Linked DNA regions of Diceros bicornis minor. The protein of the gene in region 2 binds, or shares a complex with, the protein of the main gene of each other region. Links are inferred from orthologs where the notes say so. Each region holds a gene or a part of one and is shown on either strand. Other genes may lie near its edges.

The links.
Region 1: the proteins of CSK (region 2) and PAG1 are in contact, whole or in part, in an NMR structure (PDB 2RSY), measured with the Rattus norvegicus proteins. The link is inferred for Diceros bicornis minor from reciprocal best matches to the Homo sapiens genes CSK and PAG1. Residues at the interface, in NP_001025210.1 of Rattus norvegicus: Thr88, Arg89, Glu93, Arg107, Ser109, Thr110, Asn111, Tyr112, Thr117, Cys122, Glu123, Lys125, Val126, Glu127, His128, Tyr129, Arg130, Ile140, Asp141, Tyr156, Asp161, Gly162; in NP_071589.1 of Rattus norvegicus: Phe291, Ser292, Leu294, Tyr296, Lys297, Ser298, Arg299, Glu300, Glu301, Leu305, Ile310, Met313, Tyr314, Ser315, Ser316, Val317, Asn318, Lys319.
Region 3: the proteins of CSK (region 2) and PTPN22 are in contact, whole or in part, in an NMR structure (PDB 1JEG), measured with the Mus musculus proteins. The link is inferred for Diceros bicornis minor from reciprocal best matches to the Homo sapiens genes CSK and PTPN22. Residues at the interface, in NP_001291690.1 of Mus musculus: Phe20, Thr23, Gln26, Ala40, Val41, Thr42, Lys43, Asp44, Asn46, Trp47, Ile59, Pro61, Asn63, Tyr64; in NP_033005.1 of Mus musculus: Pro614, Pro615, Leu616, Pro617, Glu618, Arg619, Thr620, Glu622, Ser623, Phe624, Ile625, Val626, Val627.

What each region holds. Positions count from the first base shown.
Region 1 is NC_080772.1:31,708,677-31,717,176, forward strand, and holds the start of PAG1 (phosphoprotein associated with glycosphingolipid-enriched microdomains 1), read right to left. Parts: upstream 3,515-8,500; 5' UTR 3,430-3,514; intron 1,590-3,429; 5' UTR 1,520-1,589; intron 1-1,519. UniProt on the Homo sapiens protein: Negatively regulates TCR (T-cell antigen receptor)-mediated signaling in T-cells and FCER1 (high affinity immunoglobulin epsilon receptor)-mediated signaling in mast cells.
Region 2 is NC_080744.1:67,716,567-67,724,085, forward strand, and holds the start of CSK (tyrosine-protein kinase CSK), read left to right. Parts: upstream 1-4,121; 5' UTR 4,122-4,591; intron 4,592-7,519. UniProt on the Homo sapiens protein: Non-receptor tyrosine-protein kinase that plays an important role in the regulation of cell growth, differentiation, migration and immune response.
Region 3 is NC_080743.1:46,479,715-46,487,718, reverse strand, and holds the start of PTPN22 (tyrosine-protein phosphatase non-receptor type 22), read left to right. Parts: upstream 1-4,759; 5' UTR 4,760-4,868; coding exon 4,869-4,955; intron 4,956-8,004. UniProt on the Homo sapiens protein: Acts as a negative regulator of T-cell receptor (TCR) signaling by direct dephosphorylation of the Src family kinases LCK and FYN, ITAMs of the TCRz/CD3 complex, as well as ZAP70, VAV, VCP and other key signaling molecules.

The DNA.
Region 1 (8,500 bases), on a different chromosome or scaffold from region 2:
TTTAAGTAGAGGATGAGTAGGGGGTGGGGAAGACAGTTTCATTGCATACATATTAATTTTGAAAGCTGCTTGGGATACACAAATGAAGATAACCAAAGCATTCGGGTCAGGAATTTGGCAGAGAGCAAACTGGAAACTCGGGATTAAAGTGAAAAAAAAAAGAGAGAAGAAAAATATCCTCATAGTAAAATTTAAGCAATCAGCCACATACAAAAAAGCAGTACACAATACAATGCTTTTCAGAAACTTCAGAGGACTGTGATTCCCCTCCTAAAACATCTGAAATCTATTCCAAAATATATAGATTCTTAAGTTAAACCTTAATTTCCCCCAACTAGAAAATGCTGTACATTTCAGGCCCACAAATAAAAATGTGTACGGCAAGCAGCTCTAGCGGAACCGGAAGTGCATTAGGGAAAACGATATTTAACCCCTGAATCGAGATTCTTGTCAAATGTTGGGAGATCAGAGGAAGGCATTTTTGGAGTGTGGATCATCAAAGCTCTTAATGCACTGATTCTTTAGACTAAGTTAACTAACAAGACACAGGCTGTTTTCCAGGATCTGCAGTTATATTTAGAAAGACCTAGAGGGGAACCAGAATGACCCTGAAATTGCTCCCTGCTCTCCTAAGAAGAAAGGGTTACTCTGCCCTGAGAAAGAATTTCTCAACAAGTTGAAGGAAAGATTTCATTAAAAGACAGTGCCCTATTTTACAAGATTCCTTCTGTGAGGAGACTGGGAACATTCAGGCCAGATGTACCCCTTCCTTTCTAGCCTGTAGAGGAACTGGATAATGATATATGATGGATAGGGGTCAGTCAGGTCACAATGCTTGAGGTCTGTAAATCTTTTAAATGGACGGACATAGCACTTCAAAGTCCAGGATTCATTATAAAAATTGATAACCATGTAGTAAACCAACTGCTAAAATCAGATACAGAACATCTTTGTGTTAACCTGTCGTTCATTTCAGTTGGATGATTTTTTTCTGGATTTAGTTCTGTTCAAGGATGACCCAAGGTCATTAAGGAATTTTGATATTATCAGCACAAAATGAGATTACTAATACCACTAATAACAGTAACAGTAAAACACAGCCTCATATATTGTTGTTGGTAGTGGTGGTGAGCACTGCATGGAACTGGAAACTGATGAGGCTATCCGATTATTATCTCCACCTCAAAGATGAGGAAAGAGATGGAGAGGGTAGACATTTTGCCCAATCTCACATAGGTATTACAGGGCAGAGCTAAGGTCGTGCCCATTTACTGACCACAGGGAAACACCATGTTGTAAGGAAGCATGACCACTGGTGTTTCGGTCTCTATGGCAGAAGACCCACGGTTCTAAATTGAAAACTGGACTAGCTAATACCCTTGAGATTGTCCAGTTTCAAAGCTATTTGCCTGCAGTTCTACAACTCAGAGTCCCCAACTAAACTACAGACGCCTGTACAAAGTTAAGGTAAAAGCAAGCTTGAATAAGCGAGAATGTAGAAAAGCAGATAAATGAATACCTTGAAATCCCTCTCTCCGCGCTCTGAAGTTGCACTCAACTGTTGAAATAAGAGAAAGACCTCGTGTTTTCTGGAAAGGAAACACAAGAGGAAACAATTTCAAAATTCTGAACTGAAGTAACACTGCAATAACTAAGGGCAAAATGATTACTTTTTCTTATTAAAATTTTGAGTAATAAAGAAAGCAGCTCACAATTATTTAATTAACCTTTAGTACTTTAATACTATAAAAAAAGAATGTTGAAAAACATAAGTTAAAACTTGCTCTTAAAACAATCACCTACCTATACATTATCCCAAATTTTATATATGGAGGAAAGCAAAAATGATGGCATTAATCACATGTGTTCTCAATGATTAATAATTATGCCCGTGCTTTGTTTTTTACTCATTGCTTCATTCCACCTCTTTCTCCCAGACACTGACGGTAACTATGGGTTAGCACCACACACCTCAAACATGGACCCTTTGAGTTGTGCAAGGTACCCTCGATTGCATACCTCAAGAAGATGACAGCCTTGCCAGAACAAAGATGGCTGGAACAAAACCGTACAGAATTGTGTAATAACTGCTATAATAGACTTAGCCATATTATTTTATGTCTTTACCTTGAAACATGCTATATTTTTGTTAGCATGGTTTTCTATGCTTAAGATAAAACTGTATCACTTACAAAGATCACTTCCTCCGAGAGGATGTGTGATTCAAGTTTGAGGAATGTAATCTCAAATCTAAAACTCTGTTTTTGTAGATTGTGTATCTAAGAAGGCATCTTAAAATATGCTAAGTGGAAGTAAAAAGCGAAAGAATGATCCAACAACTAGACTCAATGTTCTCAGAAAAATTATCCACTGAGGTAAACCAATGCAATTTTTTTTCTTTTTTGGTAAAGATTAAAGGGGAAAAGAAAGTTATTTCTTGGAAAGGAATGAAAAACAAAGCAATGCTAGAAAGACCAAAGAGAAAGAGTAAAGTTGACAACAAGCAGGATTGTGGTCCCTCCATGACCTGCCATGTCAGACTCTCCAGTGGCCAGCAAGATGAGAGCTCCCCAACCCCCATCCCACCTCATGAGGCCCCTGCCCACATGCTCGAAGAGCCTCCTGGATGTGAGCTCCAAGAGAAAAGTGCAGTAGAAGGCGAAGGAGAGTTACATGTCAGGGAAGGAGGAGAGGGGTAAAGACCACATTTGCCAAGAGTCCACTTTCAACAAAGAGAGGCAATGGAAATTCTCTTCTCCTTGCCTTTCACTGGGAAATCCCCCATTCTGAACCACTAAGCATTTCAGCTCAGCAACACTGTGGGTTCTGGAAGGTTTCCACAGCAGCCTGAAAACCCAGCATTTATAAAACCAGGAAGATATATTTCAAGCTCTAAACTACTGCGTCAGAGTCAAGTGTTTGGGATTAGCACCTGTTCAAAAGTGGAGATGTCACTATTTTGAGATGCTGCAAAATCTGTCTAATAAATGCTTACTGATAAACCTCTGTGCTGCACAAAAGCAAAGGTGGTAAGGCCCAGTTCAGGAGACCAACTGACCAATATATATGATATAGAGAGACATAAATAATAACAGAAGTATGCAGAGTGACTACAGTACAGAAAGAGCGTGAGAGCCCCATACACACAGCTCTCTGCAGCTCTTGAGATAAAACCCAAGCCACTTGGCATGGTTTGACAAGCTCCCCGTCATGGCGCCTGCTTATCCTGGCAGCATCATATCTCATCATCTGTCCCATCATCGTCATCTCCCATCCGGCGTTCTCCATGCCTCTGCCACGTTGTTTGTTTGCTTGTTTTTTTTTAAGAGGCTAAACAACTAATATAGAAATGAGTATCTCATAAAGCAGCTGTTTCTAAGCTGGAAACCGTCTGTAGTGTGCTTATTAAGAGTAAGTGGATCCTGGTACCTGGTAGGTAGGTCCTCCAACCTTTCCCAACCTGGGTCCTCAGCCTGTCACATCCTTCTCAATCTTCTCCTTCTTTTACAGACTGGAAGAAGAAATAAACTGTAAACACCAGTGTAAAGTATAGAGCATTAGCATTTTGGGTTGCATAGTTCTTTGTTTTGAGGGACTAGCATTCCCCCCCCAGCTGTGACAACCCAAAATGTCTCCAGATTTTGACAAATGTCCCCTAAAGGGCAAACTCACCCTCGGTTGAGAATCACTGGTCTAAAATGAATGATGACTTATTAAAACATAATAATATTTATAATCTAACTTCCAGAATATGCAAAAAGACAGCAATCTGGATGGGGACCATCCAAAAAGGCACAGATGGGGGAGAAGAGAGGAGGGAAGGCACACGTATTGAGCACCTGCTGTATTCTTGGCCCTGTGTGAGGTCTCATCTAATACTCAGACCTCATGTACCTCCAGAATCAGAATCCTCATTTTTTGTTTTTTTTTTGAGGAAGATTGGTCCTGAGCTAACATCTGTTGCCAAGCTTCCTCCTTTTTTTCCCTTTTTTCTCCCCAAAGCCCCAGTAGATAGTTGTATGTCATAGTCGTACATCCTCTAGTGCTTCTATGTGGGACACTGCCACAGCACAGCTTGACGAGCCGTGCATAGGTCCACACCCAGGATCTGAACCGGTGAACCCCAGGCCGCTGAAGCAGAACACGCGAACCCAACCGCCACACCACTGGGCTGGCCCTCCAGAATCCTCATTTTAGCAGATGACTCACGGGCAAACTCAATTTGAGGAAGAACTGGCTTACATTTGAGCCAAGTTGGCTCAACCTCCACCCTACCAGAAGCCGCAGGCACCCTATAAAAGGTGCCATTGAATAGGTTTCTGAGGTTAGGGACTTCCCTGGGGCTCTGCTTCCTATCCCCCACTTTAAACGGCTCATTTTGGCTTCTTGGTTTCCATCCAGCTGCCTCACGCCCTTGCTCTGTCCGCCTTGCAGCCTTACGATATAGCTAGCAGGCTTCCGATTCCATTTACTAAAGAATGCTGCCCCTCCGAGCCCCTCGCTCGTATTCTCACCCTGTCTGTAGGCAAACGGCATCCCTTAGCTTTCTAAGAGCGAGTTCCAGATAGCCCCCTCCGCTCTCGTTGTCTTCGAGAGGGCAACCAGATACTTAATTCCCTAGATCCAGCCTGCATAATTCCACGTGCTCACATAGATCTATTACCAGGCACTAACGCAAAATATATAGTATTGTCATTGTGGCTTTTAAAGGTTTAGCTTCCTGCAATAATAACTACTCACGGTTTTATATCTTCTGTAATATGAGCAGACTGCTTTCACTCTTGATAGTTAATTTCATAAAACAAGGAAAACAACAGCTGTATCCAACATGACAGAATGAAAGATGAGGTTGAGCCTAATTAATGCAGGCTTTGCTTCAATAACAGCTTTATTCTCAATAAACAGAGTGTGACATTTTCATTAACTCAGATACAAACTCCCGTACAAATACTCGCACATGAAATACTATAAAAATACCAAATTTAGACTCTCTCGCTCTTCTCTTTCAAGACCCAAATGATTTCAGATGCTGGCACTTGTAATAGTTTTATTATGATTACTAATAATTACCAGTTATGAATCTTGCTATTTGCAGGCCGTGTGCTACAAATTCCATACATCCTCGTCTCATGTAATGCTCATGAGAAATCCAAGGGACCTGGACTATTGTTATGCTGGTTCTACAGATGGGGAAACTGAGGCTTGGAAAGGTTAAGTAGCTCAGCCAGTGAGTGGTGGAGCCAAGTTTCAAACCCAAGCGTACTTGACTCCAAGCAGCACCTCATTCACACACATCATTTTTGATAACACACAGGTGTCCCCTAAGAGCGTGCCCATGTATAGTTTTCTCTGTATCCTTGCATCCCTAAGCATATACACAGCCACTACTATTATTAATATTAATATTATATGTGCCTACTTGAATCAAGAAGGTATAAACCAATGGTCTCTAATCCCATAATTGGGAAACATTTGATTCAGACACCCTTGGTTAGACGCAAATATTATCCAGATCTGTGATAATTCTTTTAGCTGTTTCTCACCTAGAATAACTTAATAAGCTAAGCCAGTTTGGCATCACTCTGTTAAACTGGGATATGGTTATAACAAACCTGCTCATCACCATGGGTACCTGAATGCAATCTCTGGTGGGTGGGTGGCCTGGCCTCCAAGAACAGAATCTGTTCTGCCGGCAAGAGAAAATGCTAGCAATGTCCACTCATCTGATCCCTTCCTCCACCAAGGCAGCTGAGCCCTTGGGTCAGTTCAGCAAGTGAACAGAGGAAAGAGAAACAAATTCAAAACCTCCTGTGTGAGTTAAGTACCATGAGACTTCGGACACACCAGTTTACTGCCCACAATTCAGAGATAACAATGTCTGGCCCTGCCTCCTCTGGTGCCCAAGGATAGCATGTGGATGACTTGATGGGCCCAAGGCCCTTGGGTAGGAAGAGCTGAGGTTAATGAACCTATGTCCACATTCACAGCGTTGAGCAACATAAAATCAGGCCAACACACCTGCACATGGCAATTAGAGTTAGGTATGTGGGGCTGATGAAATATTTCTTTTGAAGTTAGTGAGGCCAAAATAAACAAACAACAACAATAACAACAACAAAAGAAGCCTCAGAAACTGATCTTCCCATTCCCCACCCCCATCTGTAAAATAGAAACAGAAACCTCTTGTTTTTAAGTAAAAATTGCAGGGCAATCTTTTCGGTTTCCCAGATTTTAAAAGGAACAAAAGCTGTAAGAAAATAAATATTCTAAGGCCCACGCTAAATTCATAAGCTTTTTACTTTAATATGTTCTGCATCTGGATGAATATTTATCACTCACTATTTATTACTGCCTCAATATTTATTACTGTCTCTATGCCTATTTCTCTCTCTGTCTTAGGTTGTCAAGTCTGATAAGGCAGGGACCAAATCTATTTAGTCCTTTTTGTAAAGCATGTGAAACTGTTATGCATAATTAGGCACTTAAAGGGTTTTTGATGAAGATGATTATGAAGAATCAGAATAGTTAATACCATGGTGGCATGTTTCCTGGAACCTTCCTGTCTTTCTGAAATATCAGATGAGCAGACTCGCATAGAATGGTAGAGCTAATGGAAGCTTGGGCCTAGAGATCATGAAGAGCTGGCTAAACCTGTGGTCTGTGGCCGGGCAGCATCAGCGTCATCCAGAAGTTTGTTAGAAAGGCAAATCTCGGGCACCACCCAGACCTACTCAATCAGAATCTGCAGGTGAACAGGATGCCCAGGCGATCTGTAGGCACATCAAGGTCTGAGAAGCACAGACTAGAGAACCATCTAGTTCAAGGACTTCAGAAGAACTGTGGCTTGTACCTTCTGACCTCAAATTTCCACCTCCTCTTGCTCCTTCAGGAATATTCCTCCTTAAATTATTCTTCGGTGGGTCTCCAGAATTAAACTGCAAATCAGTAACAATCGCCAGCTTGCCAAGAACACCGGTCGTTTCTGTTTGCCAGAGAGGCCTTTATTCTTTCAACATCTTGAATACACACACAAGATGCTGGAAATAGAAATCCAGAAACCCATCTTCCAGTAGCGGGCTTGCTCACTACACACAGCCAAAGAGGAGAGACCACACCGTGATGGTGTGTGGAACCGGACACCACGACTCTTGGCTGAGACCTGGATCCCACATTTTGCACATTTCAGGCCCAGTGACGCAGCCCAGGCTGCCCGTCACCTTTCATTTCTATTTCCTACTTTCACTAAATGCTCCTAAGTCCTGACTCACACACGGCTCTGCCCTGGAGTTCTAGAGTCCCACCAGATGAACATAATTCAAACCTTTAAGGATATGCATTCCAAGAAGAAGAAAAAAACAGAACTATTTGAAAACTCTTAAAAACGTCTTTGAATTGCTGTTGATATGCTGGTTTGTCACTGCATCTTTTAAACCAGTTCCCTCCACGACTTCCCTGCCCAGCCATATTATAGACTTCCTATACAGATTAGGAGTCATCGATTTGTAATTAGAAGAATTTTATTTGGGTTTTTCCCCTAGACTTCAGCCACAAAATGTAGTTAGTAAAGAACGTTCAATGATATTCAAATTCCATCACTGTTGTGTCACTTGTATTTTCCAAAAGGCTGAAAAGGACTGATGTGCATCTTAATCAGGTCTGCATATGGCAGACATCTGTCTTGACTCATATTTGAATACCAGCTGGTACCCTCCCAAGATATGGTCACTTTTCTGGAAAAAATATTAATTTCTCCAGGTATGAAAAGATTGGCTATACTTGTTCCCACAACCGTACGTTTTTTCCTGCACATTTAGAAATCAGAAAGGAATTTGTTGGACATTAAAAGAAAAGCACTGCAATGAAGAAAGGATGTTTTAAGAACACAAAAGATTAATTGAGGCAATAATTCTAGGTTTGGCGTAAAAGTTTGAAAGAATGTTGAAAATTTTGCTGAAAGCACATTGTTTAGATTAGCTAGAGACAAAGACTGACCTATGTTGTGGGTACCACTTCCTAAACAAACCTTGAGAGAGCACCGTATCAGAGAGAGCCAGAAGGGCACAGACTTACTCTAGAGCACTCTCCTCTGCCTCAAGGCAACATCCGTTATAAGAGAACGTCAGCCCATCTTTTGGGGGTACAAAGTACCTCAGAAAAGATCAGAAAAGATGAAGAAAAAAAAGGACGAGGAGAAGATACTGCTGAACGGCACATCCCAGGAAGCCTACCATGAATTGGCTGAAGTATCAGGTTTTAGGAAAACTTCACTGCATCTTTGGGGTTGTGTTAAATCGCCTATTAAGCACTTAGAACAGGGCCTACCTGGCGTATAGTAAGTGGAAAGTAAAATCTGCCAGCACTGGATTCACATTACCAAATTCTCAAAAAGCAGCAACTGAATGAAATTATTTAGCTGCTGCCCTTTAGATGAGGCATGAACTCCCTGCTTGCCACAATCCTTACCACTCCCTAAGGTCTCCCAGATACTACAGCCAAGCCT
Region 2 (7,519 bases):
GTGGCCACTTGCTTTCTCCTGGTTTCTGGCCTTCCCTAAGACTCTCAACCGCAGGCATTGGTCCTGTCTCTTTCCCTTAGGCCCCCTTTCCACTGCTTCCGCCCCTCGGCCCACCTCCACAAGTCAGTGAGACCCTGCAGCAAGGAAGTGGCATTCACACCAGGCCTGAGTGACCCCAAAGCCCATGCCCTTTTTGCTTGGTCTCACTGCCTCCCAGGTGTCCCCATGTGCTGTTTCCTGTTGGTGCCTCTTTCGCAGTGACCATTCCTTCCCCTTCCATGGCCTCTTTCTGGAGGAAGCTCATTCCCCAAGGGCCTAGCAGGAGCTCCCTGGTGGGGATGGTGATGACAAGGTCAAAGAACAGCTCCCAGAGGGCACGGGGTGCCCAGAGGTGCTGTCAGCAAAGGAAGCTGCTCACAGTCAGCTCGCCCTGAGCACCTGCGCTGCAGGAAGTGAAGGGGACTTTGCTGGAAATCTGCCTTTAATCTTGGCTTCCTGTTTTCTGCCCTGGGGGACCGCCCAGAAGGTCTGAGTTTCAAACTATTTCACACCAGCTTCTCTAAACTGTCATCTCAGAGCAAAGAGGCTGGGGGAGGGGAAGAGGCAGGGCAGAGTGAGGAGAGCCCCTTCCCTTCCCAGGGGACCCTGGGAACAGAGCACAGTCCACCCATTAAGGTGCTTAACCTCTGGACTTCTGGCCACCGCCAACCAACCTCACTTTGCATCGAGCTAGCCCAGTGGGCCCGCATCATCAAAACGCAGCCAGAAGTCTGTGCTCCGTTCCCCATATCCAGCGGTCTCCAGCCTCTCTCTTTTCTCCATTCCCCCAGGGTGGGCCCCACCAGCCAGCGATAAGTAGCCCAGCCTGGGAAAGCTAGCGCTTGAGCCTACCTGGCTGGAAGGGGGCTCCTCCTAAATTTCCTCCCCAATCCTAAAACCCGAGGACGCTTCTCTGATGATTTCCTACCCTGAAGCGCGCTGAGTGAGGAGGCTGTTTCGTGCTCCAGGCTTTGGAGGTCCTCAGAGCTCAACCCCAGTCCTGGAGGTGGACTCTAGAAAAGTTCTTGTTGGAGCCTCAGGGGCCTTGTCTGTAAAATGTGGCTCCAAACGCCAACTTGCCATCTCCATGTCTCAAGGGGTCTTCAACTCAGTTTGTCCAAAATCCAGCTCTTGAGCGTTACCCCCAGCCTGCCCCTCTCCCAAATCCTCCCTACCTCAGCAGAGAGCACACTGTTTCCCACCTGCTCCAGCCACACCTGAGAATCAGGCCTGCCTTCTCCTGTGGCCTCACTCCCCACCAACAGCCCCTCACCGAGAGCTGTCAGGTGGCTCTCCTTTGTCCCGGGGCCCATGCCCATTAGCCCTGCCTGGACTATGCGAAGCCTCCTCAGTGGTCTCTTGACCTTCCCTCAATCATGTCACTCCCCTGCTTGAAATCCTTCAATGCCTCCCCATTGCTCATATAATACAGTCCGAACTTGTGTAATAGAATCCTTGCCCACAAGGCCCTACAGGATCTGGTCCCGTCCTCTTATACCACTCTCACTCGCTTGCTGGTCTCGTCACCTTGGCTTCTGGCTGATCCTCAGGCCACTGAGCCCTCTGTGCCGGTCTCCCCCAGTCCTCTCTCCTCCATCAAATATTCATTGCCTTCATACCAGGTGTCTGACTGGCCTGCTGACTTATTTATCCTATTGGGCAAGAACCACGGTGGTCTTGCTCACGTCTTCATCTCCAGCATCCAGAACGGTGCCTACACTTAGTAGGTGATCAGTAAGCACTTATGAGTGAGCGAATGAATGAACGAATGAATGGTGAGGTTGGAAGTTAACGGGCTCTTTCACTAGAGGACAGCTCTGTGGGGCAGGACCCTCCAGCGACGTGTCCTTTGTGCCTGGGGTTCAGGGAAGTTAAACAATGTTATTTCACTCTGCTGTGAAGAGGTGGAGCCAGGATTCAAATGCAAGTCCATTTGGCTCCAAAGTCCACACTCTGGGCCACAAGAAACCCAGGGAAAAGTCAAGTGTGTTCAGGGGTAAAGGAAGATGGGTTGCCGACAAAACTGGGACGGGGATCTGAGTCTTTTCCCCAAATCCCCACAGTCCTTTCCCATTTTGCCAGCTGATGCAGTTGTGGGAGGGGAGATATCAACTTCTCCCTTCCAGAAGCCATTGCAGAACTGCTGAAGTGCTTTCCTTTACGCTGAGGGGTGGCCCCATCTGGGCCCCACTTTATCATTCCATCTTGACCTCAGAGGAAAGAAAGGGAAACCAACTGAGCTGAGCACCCTCCCCACCCCCCTCACCCCAGGCCGTTATCTTGCTGAATATGCATCATCTCTCATAAGACTGGTATATTTTGAGTCTGATCTTACAGAAGAGGAAACTGAGCTCAGAGACCTTAAGTAACTAGCCAAGGTCACACAGCTAGTTAGTGGCCCAGCTGAGATTTCACTTTGAGATTTGAACCCCAAATCCACGCTTTTTTCCATTACACCATAGCTATCTCCGAGACTTACTGAATGTCTCCTCAAAGGGCAGGGCTGTGACCACTACCTTCCTCCTTGAAGGGCTGGCCTCTTCCTGGGAAGCTGGCCCAGGTGTGCATTGGGTAAGAGGACCAACCAGCGGCTTGTCTGGGGAGGCACACCCAACTGCTGCTCCTCCATTCGAGGCTCTTTGTAATCTGCAGCCACATTGTCTCCCCAGCTCACTCTCCCACAGGGCCCTCACTCCCTCAGCCCCTCACTTATTTTGAACTTCAAGACTTTGCCAGTACACCTCACTTCCCCCACTGAGAATGCCCTTCCTCTCTGCCCACCCAACCTCGACCCTTCTATCAGGGCCCAGGAAGTCCCTAGGAAGTGCCCTAATGCCTCCTACCTACACTGGAGTCTCTGGTCTCCCCCGCACCACTGCCCACCCCACTGTGTGCCCCCCACCACACACACGCACACCGTCTGCTCCTGTAGCTCAGAGCAGATCACCTCTTTGCTCCCCGTCAACAGTGATATATAATAACAGGCAATACTTAACTGAGGGCTGACCGCATGCCAGCTGCTGCACACTAAGCACGTCAAATGTATTAACTCATTTCCTCCCCACAAAACCTTAAGACATTGGTGCTATTTTTCCCCTCATTTTACCAAATGGGGAAACCAAAGCACAGAGAGGTTAAGTCACTTTGCCAAGGTCACACAGCTACTGACAACTTCCTCATTGCCTCCAAGCTGAAAACAAAGTCCATGAAAGTCCTACAAGGCTCTTTGGAGCTCTCTCCTCCCTGCAGCTTGCAGGGACCCTACCCCCCACCACTCTCCTGGACCCACACTGCAAACTGCAGCCATACTGGGCTACCCACAGCTCCCAGAGCCGTCAAGCTCTCTCACCTCTCCCTGCCTTTGTCCATGCTGTTACCTCTGCCTGGGTCCTAGCTCTCTGAAGTCTCCCATTAGCCCTCCCCTCTTTCCTGTTTCCTGTGGACATTGTACCCCAACTCTCCACTTCTATCAATTGTTTTTTTGCGCTTGTCTGTTGGCCTGTCAGTTCTCCTACTGAGAGTTCCTTGACAGTAATGAAGTGGTCCTACCAGTAGACTCCAGAACAGGGCCTGTGAGGTCGTCAGCGCCAGGAAATGTTTGTGAATGAATGAATGCTTACTGCTGCGAGTGAGGCCCACTCTCCACCAACAGACCCGAAGAGAGGGGACCACGTCTGGCCTCAATCGCTTCTTCCTCGGGGAGGCTGCGCCCAGAGAAGGCTCAGAGGGTGCTCCAAGGCAGGCTCTGCGAGGGACCTCCGGGAGCCGTCAACACGGGCAGGCAGGTGGGGGCAGGGCGTGGGCGCGGACACACCCCCCGCCGTGCCCCCGGCGCCCGGCAGGGGGCGCCGCCCAGCCGGCCCACGCCCCGCCGCGCACCGGGCAGGCCCCCTCGCGCAGGCGCGCTGCCGCGGGCGGAGGATCCGGGCCGCGCTTCCTCTCGCCAGGCCTGCGAGCTTCCTCCGAGCGGAGCCCCGGGCGAACCGAGCTTGGCCGCCGCCGCCGAGACCGCCGCCGCCCTCCCGCTCCCGCCCCACCCCACACTCCGCCCGGGAGTCCTGCCGGGGTGGGGTCCGAGCGGGCGACCGCCCGGCCGCGCCGCCGTCGGGGCCGTCCCCCGGGCGGCCGTCCCTCCCGCCCCAGCCAGCCTGTGGCCGCCGGAGCCTCCGGGGCGTGGAGCGCGGGGAGCCCCGCGGCCCGCGATCCAGCGTCCGGGGCAGCCCCCGGCAGTCGGCGCGACGGTCCAAAATCGAACCTCGGTGGCGGCGCTGGGAAGCGGAACTCTGCCGGGGCCGCGCCGGCTACATTGTTTCCTCCCCCGACTCCCTCCCGCCCCCCTTCCCCCGCCTTTCTTCCCTCCCCGACCCGGGCCGCGCGGCCATCCCCCTGCCTCTGTCTGGCCGTCCCTCCTCCCCCTTGTTCGCACCCATACCTCTTTGTACCGCACCCCCTGGGGACCCTTGCGCCCCTCCCCCCTGGCTGCATGGACTGTCCCGCAGGCCGCTGATGCTGCCCGCAGCGAGGTGGCCCGGACCGCAGTGCCCCGAGAGAGGTGAGTGCTTCCCGGGGCAAGGAGGGTGGAGGTCGCACGTCCCGCTTCTGTTGCCGCTGTTGCAGCTGCCGTCGCTTCCACTCCCATCCCCCACTCCCTTGCCCCCCTCCTTCCCGCGTTCGAATTCTCCCGGGAGTCACTGTCAGCCCGACTGGGAGGGGAGCGCACGAGGGAGGTACTGCCCTGCGAGCCCCACGGACTTGTCTCAGGCCACCACTTGACTGTCTTCACCTTACCCCCGTGTGGGGCCTGGCTGGAGCTTGGAGGGAGGGGGTCAGCATGGGCCAGGGCCCTGGAAAACGGACAGTTTGCCATTCGCTGTCCAGGGCCCCCCACAGGTTCTTCGGCCTGCCTGGTTCTGACCCCTCCTTCATTCCTCCACCGAGGCCCTGCCGGCTTCAGAAAGCCCAGGGCCCAGCCACCTCCCTTGAACCTGCCAGAGGGTGAGCCTCTCACTCTGGGCCTCCCTGAAGACCAGGCCTAAGCCAAGGGACCTCTGACCCTTGGGTGGGGAAACTGGGCAAGGCCTCTGTCCTGGGTGGAGGTGACACTGGGCATTAGGACCATGCCCCCAACTCCTGGCAGCCTGGTCAGCCCATTCTCCCAGCCTCCTCAGGGCCCAGGCCAGGTGTCAGGAAGGGGCGTGCCCAGCCACCAGATCCTTGGAGCTTAACTAAGCGTTCACCTCCTCTCATTTTGTAGATCAGGGAACTGACACTCAAAGGGGGAAGTTGCTACCCCAGGCCTCTGGCAGAGTTAGGCCGTCCCTCCTTTCATCCCCTTCTCTGCAGAGTTGGACTGCTGTGGGTGGAGGGAAACTAGGGAGGCACCCTCACCCACCGGGGACACAGGGCCCCAGCCTGGCCCAAGGGACCTTGTGGGGTGAGCACGTGCTCCCCTGCAGAGGGCTGGAGAGGAGGGAAAGGGCTTCCGGCCCCAGCTCTGCCTGGGTCTGGGCTCAGGCAACATCGGCACTGCTTGTGGGATTTCCCCTGGTGCCTGAGGCTGGGTCCCACTGGCAGGGGATATGGGGGCACTCGTGTGGTGTAGCCCTGGTGCTGAGCTGAAACAGCCTGGTGGTCAGTCCCGACCCAGCCTTCCCACACTTTTGGCTCAGCTGGTATAGGAGCAGCCAAGGTCAGAACGTGAATGGGATCTGGAGGGGGAAGGTGAGAGCCCTGTTTCCACAGGGAGCACCCTACAGCCTTGGCATAGGAGCATTGTCAGAGTGGGGACACCCACGGCGCCTGTTCCAAGTTCTCAACGCCCTGGGGGGTCCCAATGTCTTTGTTGGTGGGGCCGCAGCAGGAACAGAGGGAACGCACCAGAAGGGCGATTGGGAGTGTGGCAGGATCCTCTTGCTTTTGGAAGGATGAGGGTTCCCTGGAGGATGCTGAACCGTGTCTGGGGCCCCTTGGGGCCCCTGGCAGTTTTGTCCTGCTTAGGCCTCTGCCCTTGATTTAGAGTTTTTTCTGGTTGCCCTGACATGCACAGTGGACGGGACCCAGATGTGGGCCTGTGAGGTTCCCCTCACCCAGCTCCACACCCAGCCCTAACTTCCTTTCCAGCCTAAGGGGCTGGGGCTGAGGCCTGCCATGGTTGGGCGCTTTTATACCAACTGTGAGCTGTACGGTGCAGCCAGTGTCTCCGGTCCTTTGTAGAAAGGGGTCTGGCTTCAGGCTAGCACTTATGCCGGGATGTGTTTTTTATTTGGTGAGCTTGGTGCCTGCCTCCCTCCCAGAAGTGGCTCGTCTTCTCTCCGTGTTGGGTCGGGGGCAAGAAAAGACCAGGAGACAGTCTCCAGCACCACTGCAGGGGGCACTGGTCCCCAAGAGGTTGAGCCACCGCGGAGCAGCCCAGAGTAGAGGCGGGGGCTGAGGCCCAGGATCCAGTGTGACGTGGCTGCCCCAGCAAGCCGCCAGGTGGTCTGATTGGACAGGATGGCCCGGGTCCAGTTCTGGGCTCCATCTTTTGAGGAGTTTTGAAGCCTTGACACAGTCTCCAAAGAACAGAGATGTTTGGTCTTGTAAAGAGAAGGTAGGGAGAGACTCTCACGTGTCTGAGAGGATGTCCTGTCTCGTCTTGGAAAGGCCGTCCCGTGGTAGAAGACTAGAAGACATGCCAGACACCAGGGCCAGAGCTGGGGGTCAGGCAGGTCCCAGGGAAGCGAATCTGAGCTCCTTATGAGAACACTACGTATGTATTAGTTTTCTTAATTTAGAAAGTAACAAAACAGCACTACAGGAAATTTAGAAAACAACACAAAAAACTGCTATTTCCCCACCGGCGCCGTGACTGTTAGCATCTCGGAGTTCCCTGCCAGCCTCTCCTAATTTTTTTTTCCCTCGTCGCTGTTGTCATTTGAATGTGCATGCCATGACACCTTTTTTCATCTAATACTGTGTCTCTGGGCATTTTCTCATGTTGCTACACGGTCTGTGTCACTTTGCCTCTAAAAAGCTACAGAATATTCCAAATAGCTCTGCCACAGCAGCCTCACCCCAACCCTCTTACTAAGCGTGTGCACTGTTGCTTCCCATCTGTCGTGCTGTTGTGGTGGTTGTTACTACAGGCCCCAAAGCAGCCAGGGGTGCCGGGGAGAGTGGGCAACTTGGCACCCAGCCGACGTGGGTTCCAGGCCCAGCTGTGCCATTGAGGCCAGAGTGGAGGGACCTTGGACAAGTCAGTCTCTGAGCCCGAGTTCCTTTGTGTACACAGCGGGGACGGTGATCCTGCTTCAGAGGGGAGTGTGCGCACAGTGTGAACTAACCAACCGAGGTCCTAGAATGTGCCGAGCACAGCCTCTGGCCTCCAGTAGGCACTATGTGAGGAGGGGCTGGTGTTGGTGACGGAGTGCCCACCGAAGGCTACCTCAACATGTGGGGAAGACACCTGGGCCAAGGTGGGCTGACCGCTGACCAGGCTGAG
Region 3 (8,004 bases), on a different chromosome or scaffold from region 2:
CTGCATAGATTACATCATGTTCACCACCCAAATACTAATTACAACCCATCACCACACACATGTGCCGAATTATCCCTTTCACTCTCCTCCCTCCCCTCTTCCCCTCTTCCCCTCTGGTAATAAGTTTGATTATATTTTAAACAAGATGCCAAGCCTCACCAAGAGTCCAGACTCGCCATAAAAAAAAAAAAAAGGTAAATTACGTCAATTGCAAATTATCAGTTGAACTTTGCCTCTTGAGGACTGTGTTTTTGAAACCAAAAGCAGAGTATGATTCTTTGTGTGGTATGTGGGAAGCTGACCATGATGTTCACAGCAGGTGAAATGAAGAGATTGATGAGGTCTCAGAATGCCGTAGTGACAAGAAGCAGATTGGAAGAGGGGTAGGGGTCTTCCCTGCTGTGGATGATGTGAAAACAAGAACAAAGCAAACAAGATTTGTTAGAGGTGTTTTATACACCTCTGTGTCTATTTATAAAAGGAGAAACAGTCTATCTTTATCTATCTCTATCTATCTAAACTCTATCTTTATCTCCGTCTATTTTGGAGATAAAGGAGGTCATTTTTTTCTGGCCATTGCAGCCCTTTGGGGCTGGACTCTGTGCCTCAGTAGGGGCACCATTCCTTTCATAACAATATCCCTGCTGCTTGGGCAGCAGCACTCAGGGAAGTACTCTTTGTCAGGTTCCTGGACCTCCCTGTAGGGAAGGCCCATCTGCTCCTGGCATAGTGAAAGTGCCTAGGCAGAGACAAACATAGACTGTGCAGGCAAGAGACCTGGAGTAATTGATGTAGTGAGTAACCAAGTCAGAGGGGATCTCTAACCAAAGCCTAACCACATTATACAGCATACTTTATCACAATAGACTTATTTTAGGTATGCTCAAGACCATGTTAAGCACTGTGGGTTATACAAATGCATAGAAGACACTATCATTACCTTTGATAAACTTAAAACTACAGGAGGCATTTTATGTGTTTTCTTTTGAATAAACTCCCCCTTTAAATAAACTTATGGGAGACAAGGAACACGTGAAGAAACTAAGAACACTTCTATAGCTGAATATAAAGATTTATATTGAAAGGATTCAGACTAAGAGAAGGTCATGGTGAGATGGCATTAGGGGCAGGATTTTTGAAGAAGAGAGTAACTAGGTTTTATGGCTTTATTTTCATCTTGGTGAAAATTAGGGGGAAAAGTGAGAAATAACAAAGGAAGGGGCAGTAGAATGAACAAGATTGTCTTTGGATGATGTGGTTGGATAGGTTGGGTGGGGACACTTGATGGGAAGGGCTTCGTGACAAGTTGAGGAATCTGGACTTGTTCCCATAGATTATCAGTAAGAACTTTGGTTCCTTAGCATTAAAGTGGAGTTTTAAGAACTTTCATCCGGGCTTGGTTAATAGGAGATACTAGAATAGAAGATATATAGATAGGAAGATAACTAAGAGCTTATTGCTACAGGAATACAGATGTGAGAATAGGAATGGTGGTTAACACGGGAATGCAAAAGACAGGTTGAATCTAAAAGACATTGAGGAGAACAGACCAATAGGCCCTGGTGGCCAAGAGGATGCTTACAAAGGACTGAGTGTTTCACAGATAATATATATAGCCCATATCAAATCAACGACCCTGGGATGGAGGGAAAGGCAGGAATAGCGAAACTAAAGCAAAGATTGATAAGTGGCTTCCCCAGGTAAAACATGCCTCCTCATAGAGAGAGAAGGGTGCTCTGAGAAACCTGAGTGCCTTTCCTATCGACTAGTTTATCTTGTCCTAATAATTTCCCCTGACATTCTCTTTGGTTAAAGTTTTTTGTAGTCTAATTCCCGACCTCCATGACAGTGATGTTTCCCCTTAAACTGGCACACTCTCTTCTTGTTGGAGCAGGTGACAGTGTGATCGGCACTCCTCTCTGTTGTCATTTTCCTTCTGAGCAAACACCAGAGCCACATGAGGCAGCAGTAAGATGTTCCTTCCTACTCCTCTTCAGGTGCTCATTCAATTTTACTTTCCACTAGAACTCACCCTTAATGGTTCTGACAAAGTGTTTATGAGTCTTCTACTGCATGGAATTGTTGTGTTCACTTAGGGTTCATTCCAGACTGGTTTAAATGTTTCAGAGTAAATTCTTAGGTATTTGCCAATCTTTGCTGCATGACTTGTTTCCCCTCCCCAGCTCTTGATCCTCCCACAAGATACAAATGAGTCAACAGAATCTTCATCAAAAACCATTATGCTTCTCTTGCCCTCCACTATCTGTAGAAGGAAGTGTGAAAAATTAAGTGGTAGTTTAGATTTGTTAAAAATAAAACTGAAGTTTTTTGTCTTCTCCTTTAGTTTGTTTTTTGCTTGCTTGAGTGGTCTGCTCAGGAAATGCCCTTTTAGCTAAGTGGGTTTTTGAGGTTTGGTTATTTCACGATGTTTCTATATCTTTTGGTTTTAGAGTAGAACAGACTCCTAACAATTGCTGCTTGCTTTTAAAAAAGATCTGCAGCTCTGCTAAGATACTATTTTCAGATCCTTATATTTTGGGTAAGTGGACTATGGAAGGCATCTAAGCAAGTTTTTCTTTCTTATCTCATATCTATCTCCATCTTATCCCTCCCTAAGAAGAGAATAAAGTTAGAGAGAGATTGTTCTGAAAGTGAGCTTGAGAAAAATAGATTTAAATTTTATTTTATTAGGTATCTTTTTGTGTATCAATTAGTAAAGTTCTAGTTTTGATGGAAGTGAAGACATTCTAAGGGGACAGAGAGATTATAAAACTGTGTATCTCTTATTTGTCCAAATACAGAAAATCATTTTCCTTTTAGGGTGATGCTTTGCTACTCTGCAAATAAGTTAGTTTGGAATGTTTTTATTTTTATCAGTAAATATGTCTATATTTTTAGTTCTGAGATGCTTTATTAACTGGTTAGGAGTGCTTTTCACCATATTCTGTTTTGTTCACTATTGTATACCCAGCCCCTAACATAGTGCTTAGCCTTTAGTCCTACTAAATTTGTCAAACAAATTAATGGACTTTTGTGTTTTTTTCTAACTAAAAAAATGGTATAATAATTTTGAAAGAAGAATTTTAAAAAGCATCCTTAATCCCAGCACTTACACAATTGATTCTTTTTTGCATCTTTTAGTCTTCATTTAACTATGTACATACTTTTACATGGTTTTGGTTATTGGGAACTTGAAATTTTGTACTTTTAAAATATTTCCCATATTTTATATGTTTTAAAATAGCCAAATTAAACCTTGCATTATTTAAAGCAACAAGAAATTTTCCTTTTATGCTAGATGGGGATAATTTGAGAAATACTATCTTATTCTCAACAAATATTGTTGAAGAATTATGGTTCATTTTAATTTATTATGTGGCTTGGGATTGAAATTCTTTATTGGCTTCACATTGCCTATAAGCAAGATACGTTAATGACCTTTCCTTTCCTGTTGTAAGGCTCAATAAGGTGGATGCAGCCTAATACTGTTCAGAATCATGATTTCCTTAAAGGGAATTTGAATAATGTTGCAAAACAGAAAGGATTGCTAATATCTTAAATAGAGGAAGTTCTAACAGCACATTTCCCAGTTTTCTTCAGGATATTTCTGACTAATTTTAACATATTATTTATTGAACTTCTGTCCTTAAACAGAGATGATATGCTGATTTTTGGTTGTTCTCATACTGAATGAGACACTCTTGGGTAGGTTTGTACCCGTTGAGGAGAGAATTTATACAAGCTGAGATGTGGAAGCTTTTTCTAGAACAGGCTGCCTGTCAGACAGGGCCAAAATGCCACAGGTATAGCGTGGCTTCCTGAAACAATGGCCTTTTCCAAGGCAGGTTGCAAAAAGTAGAAATGTCTTCTCAAGAAATAGTTCTTCAGGCTTTCTGCCCTGAAAGTTATACCATTGTCAGCAAGGTGGTTGATTTTACTCTTTTTCTGTTCCTTCATTGTTTACTAGATTACCTAAGGGGATATTGTGCCAACTTCCTGATCAGGTGCTCCTCATGGGGGCCACTGTGCTCCTGGATCCTATATAGACCAATACTCTGTCTTTATATCCAGGACCCAGGTGAAGCTCAAAAAGTACTGGAGGGTGGGGGAGGTCCTGAAATCAATAAGACTTCCCTTAACGGAGATCAGCACTTCCCCAGCCCTGGGAGAGACAAAGACTGTCAGGAGCAGCTGACTTTGCTTCATCCAAAAGAGGTTTGAGTTCTATATGGCAAACTTAAAAGTTCTGAATAAAAATGCCTTCTCTGATGAACAGAAGTTTGCCATTGATCACACTGACAAGAAACTTTTGAGAGAACAGTACAGGTAGAAGACATCTTAACTCCAAACAGTGTCTATCTCCCCTTCTGGGCCTAACTCAACTTTGCAGAGTTCATTTGGGACAAGAAGAAACAGAAGGTGTCAGCAGGGCCTTTGTGCTCATTGGGGAAATGGGGTGAAGCAGAACCCACACATGAGACCTGTAATTCTTCCTTTTCTCTAGGAAGCAAGAAAAAAGGTGAATTTTGCTTAAGGGTGATGGAGTGGAACAGTCTCAGAGCTAAGCAGACCACATGCTATGTTCTGGTTAGCCTCTTGTTTGTTAAAAACTTGAATTGTAACCAGGCTCCTTCCTTGAAAAGGAAGGCGCTAGGGCCCTGGAGTGAGATGATGGCTTTGTTGTGTGACCACAGAGGCTGGTTACGTACTAATTTCCTCTAGGGCTTGTGATGAAGTCAGTAAACCACAGCCTTCAACATGTTCTGTTCAGGCGGCAGCAGTTGCTTCTCGGTGGTGTCTCGGCCATGACACACATTTGACATGCCTTCCCTTAACTCACTCATAGACTGTCTCTCTTGCCCTGCAGCATGGACCAAAGAGAAATTCTGCAGAAGTTCCTGGATGAGGCCCAAAACAAGAAAAGTAACAAAGCGGAGTTTGCCAATGAATTTCTGGTGAGTCCTACGTGTGACACTCTCAGGGTAGTTACACAGACTATTTAACTGACTATGATGGTCCAACTCTCCTAGACCAAATTGCTCTTGGGAATAAAGTAAATATTAGACCTTGCAGAAGAAGGGAGGAAGGCAACCTAAAAGTTTGACTTTTCTGAGTGGTTTGTGTGCATCTTAGAAATTCTCTCCAAAATACTGTTTTTAGTATTTTGTTTGCTAGTTCTTAGAGTTTGACTAGGAATCTTACAGAAGACATATATAACTCCAGGTGTATAAATACTAACGCTAACTGAACATTGGAGTTCTCAGGTGTCTGAGTTGTGGTTTATGCCTCAAATAACTAGTTTTAATTAATATTAAGAGGAAAGAGACCAAGATTAACTTTTCATGGAACATTATTTTTTAGCCTCCCTGTGGGATTCCATTTGGATGACAAAGGCTCTTGAAGAGCACCAAAACTGCCTGCTGCCACATTTCTTTATCTTTTCTTTCCTAGAGGAAAAAAATAGAACATGTATTTTTACAATAGAGTTTTCTTAGCCTTGTTTTGCTTGGAAAGGTGGAATGGCTAGGATGGGGTATAGAGACAAGTGAGGGACATGGAGAGAAACCTAAGCACAAGGTAGCGTAAGGTCAACTAGATTTGATTACCCAGAGGATCACTGAGTCTCCTCTGAGGGAACTGTGGTGATTGATGCATGGCAGCTGGGTAGGCCTCATTCATCCTGTAACCGAGCACATCAGATGACGTCGGATATCTGATGGGACCTATTATGTATTTTGGAATACTCTCAGCTGGTGTTTCAAAGCTATAGGAACTTTAAACCTTCTTCATCTGTGAAGTGGGAAAAATAAGGGAATTGAAGTATAAAACCTGAAATTAAATCATGATTCTGTCATCAACCAAATTATCAACCATTTGACATGTTCCTTAATCTCCCCACATCTGTTTTCTAACTTCTAAAATGGGGATAATAATTCATGTCCTATCTATCCTCACAGGATTGTTGTGATGATTAAATATCAATATTAATAATAATTAAATGTGGTCATCCATTCAGTAATATCTATTGAGCACCTACTATGTACAAAGTTCAGTTCTAGGCACTGAGGATACAGCAGTGAACAAAACAAAAACCTTTGCCCTCATGAAGCTAACATTCTGGTACCAGATAGTAGATGTGAAAACATTCTGTAAAGTCTCGAGTGACTAGATATTATGATTGAGTGATTACATGTTATGATAGAAGCCCCTATGCCAGCTCAAGTTGGATAGTATCGTGGTGTCATGAAAAATGTGCTCTCATTGCCACTGGCCAGGCAGTCTGAGTCCCTCTGAGTAGATTTATCATGGAGGGAGGTAAGGGGGAAGTCCTGGCCTATGTGTCTGTTCAGACATGTGCCTGCCCCTGGACTATAATTTCTGAGCCAAATTCACCCAACACATAGAAGTAAAAAGTGACCTGAGGGGGTAATGCCAGCCTCTGTTTTATTTGGTTGTGTTTTTAAAAATTATGTAGACAACATCCCTAATACTTTACCTTTTCTTAGCTCAGTCATTATAATCTCTCACCAAATTATGGCAGCCACATAACATTCTGTTTTCTCTGCCTCTGGCCTTGCCCCACCTTCAATAAATTTTCTGTTCAACACCCAAGTGATCTTTTAACAATACAAATCTGGTCACTTTTTTCCCTGCTTAAAAACCTTTTCTAGTTTGTATTTTTTTCAGCTATTTAAAATTGTGAACTGTAATACACATTTAGAAAAGTACATAAAACATGTTAAGTATATAAAGCAACCACCACCCAGGTCAAGGAATTGAACAACCTGTCAGACCCCAGAAGACCTCTATGTATTCCTTCCCCCTTAGGTCCCTCACCCACACTCCCACCTCCACCCTGTCCTGCCCTGCCCAAGGAATAATCACTATCCTGACTTTTATATTAATCATTTCCTTGCTTTTCTAGCTCCTGATTTTAAGGACCTTGTTTTTGAGTGGTGATTAAGTGGAACTTCACTGTTCACTGACTCATGTCCTCCAGCGGAAAAACAGAGTTTTGCTCTCAGCCCCACCTAAAGGTTCAGCTGAGATACGAGAGAGAGTGGCTTTGGGGGTACTGGGGAGTGGTGAAGGGGCGTAGGTTGTGGCTTGGACAAGGTAAATACTACCATTAAATTGGAGGGCTTTCCATCTAGTCATGGAATGACCCACATCCCACTTTAAGCCTTTTAATATATTCTCCCAGGATTTGATGTTTCTGAGGTTTGACACTGAGCCACTGCTAGCCTAAATGGGGGTGCCTTTGTGAAAATTATCGAAAGTTGTCTCTACTTCCAGGTAGATACTCTGTGCACCCTGCCCCGCACTGGGTCCATGGCTTAGATTTTTTTTTTTTTAATTTTTTGTTTATTGCAGTAACATTGGTTTATAACATTGTATAAATTTCAGGTGTACATCATTATACTTCTATTTCTGCATAGATTACATCATGTTCGCCACTCAAATACTAATTACAACCCATCACCACACACATGTACCGAATTATCCCTTTCACCCTTCTCCCTACCCCCTTCCCCTCTGGTAACCACCAATCCAATCTCTGTCTCTACGTGTTTGTTTATTGTTGTTATTATCTACTACTTAATGAAGGAAATCATACGGTATTTGACCTTCTCCCTCTGACTTATTTCACTTTGCATAATACCCGAAATGTCCATCCATGTTGTCACAAATGCCTGGATTTCATCGTTTCTTATGGCTGAGTAGTATTCCATTGTGTATATATACCACAGCTTCTTTATCCATTCGTCCCTTGATGGGCACTTAGGTTGCTTCCAAGTCTTGGCTATTGTGAATAACGCTGCAATGAACACAGGGGTGCATGTATCTTTACGCATTGGTGTTTTCAAGTTCTTGGGATAAATACCCAACAGTGGAATAGCTGGATCATATGGTAGTTCTATTCTTGATTTTTTGAGGAATCTCCATACCGTTTTCCATAGTGGCTGCACCAGTTTGCACTCCCACCAGCGGTGTATGAGAGTT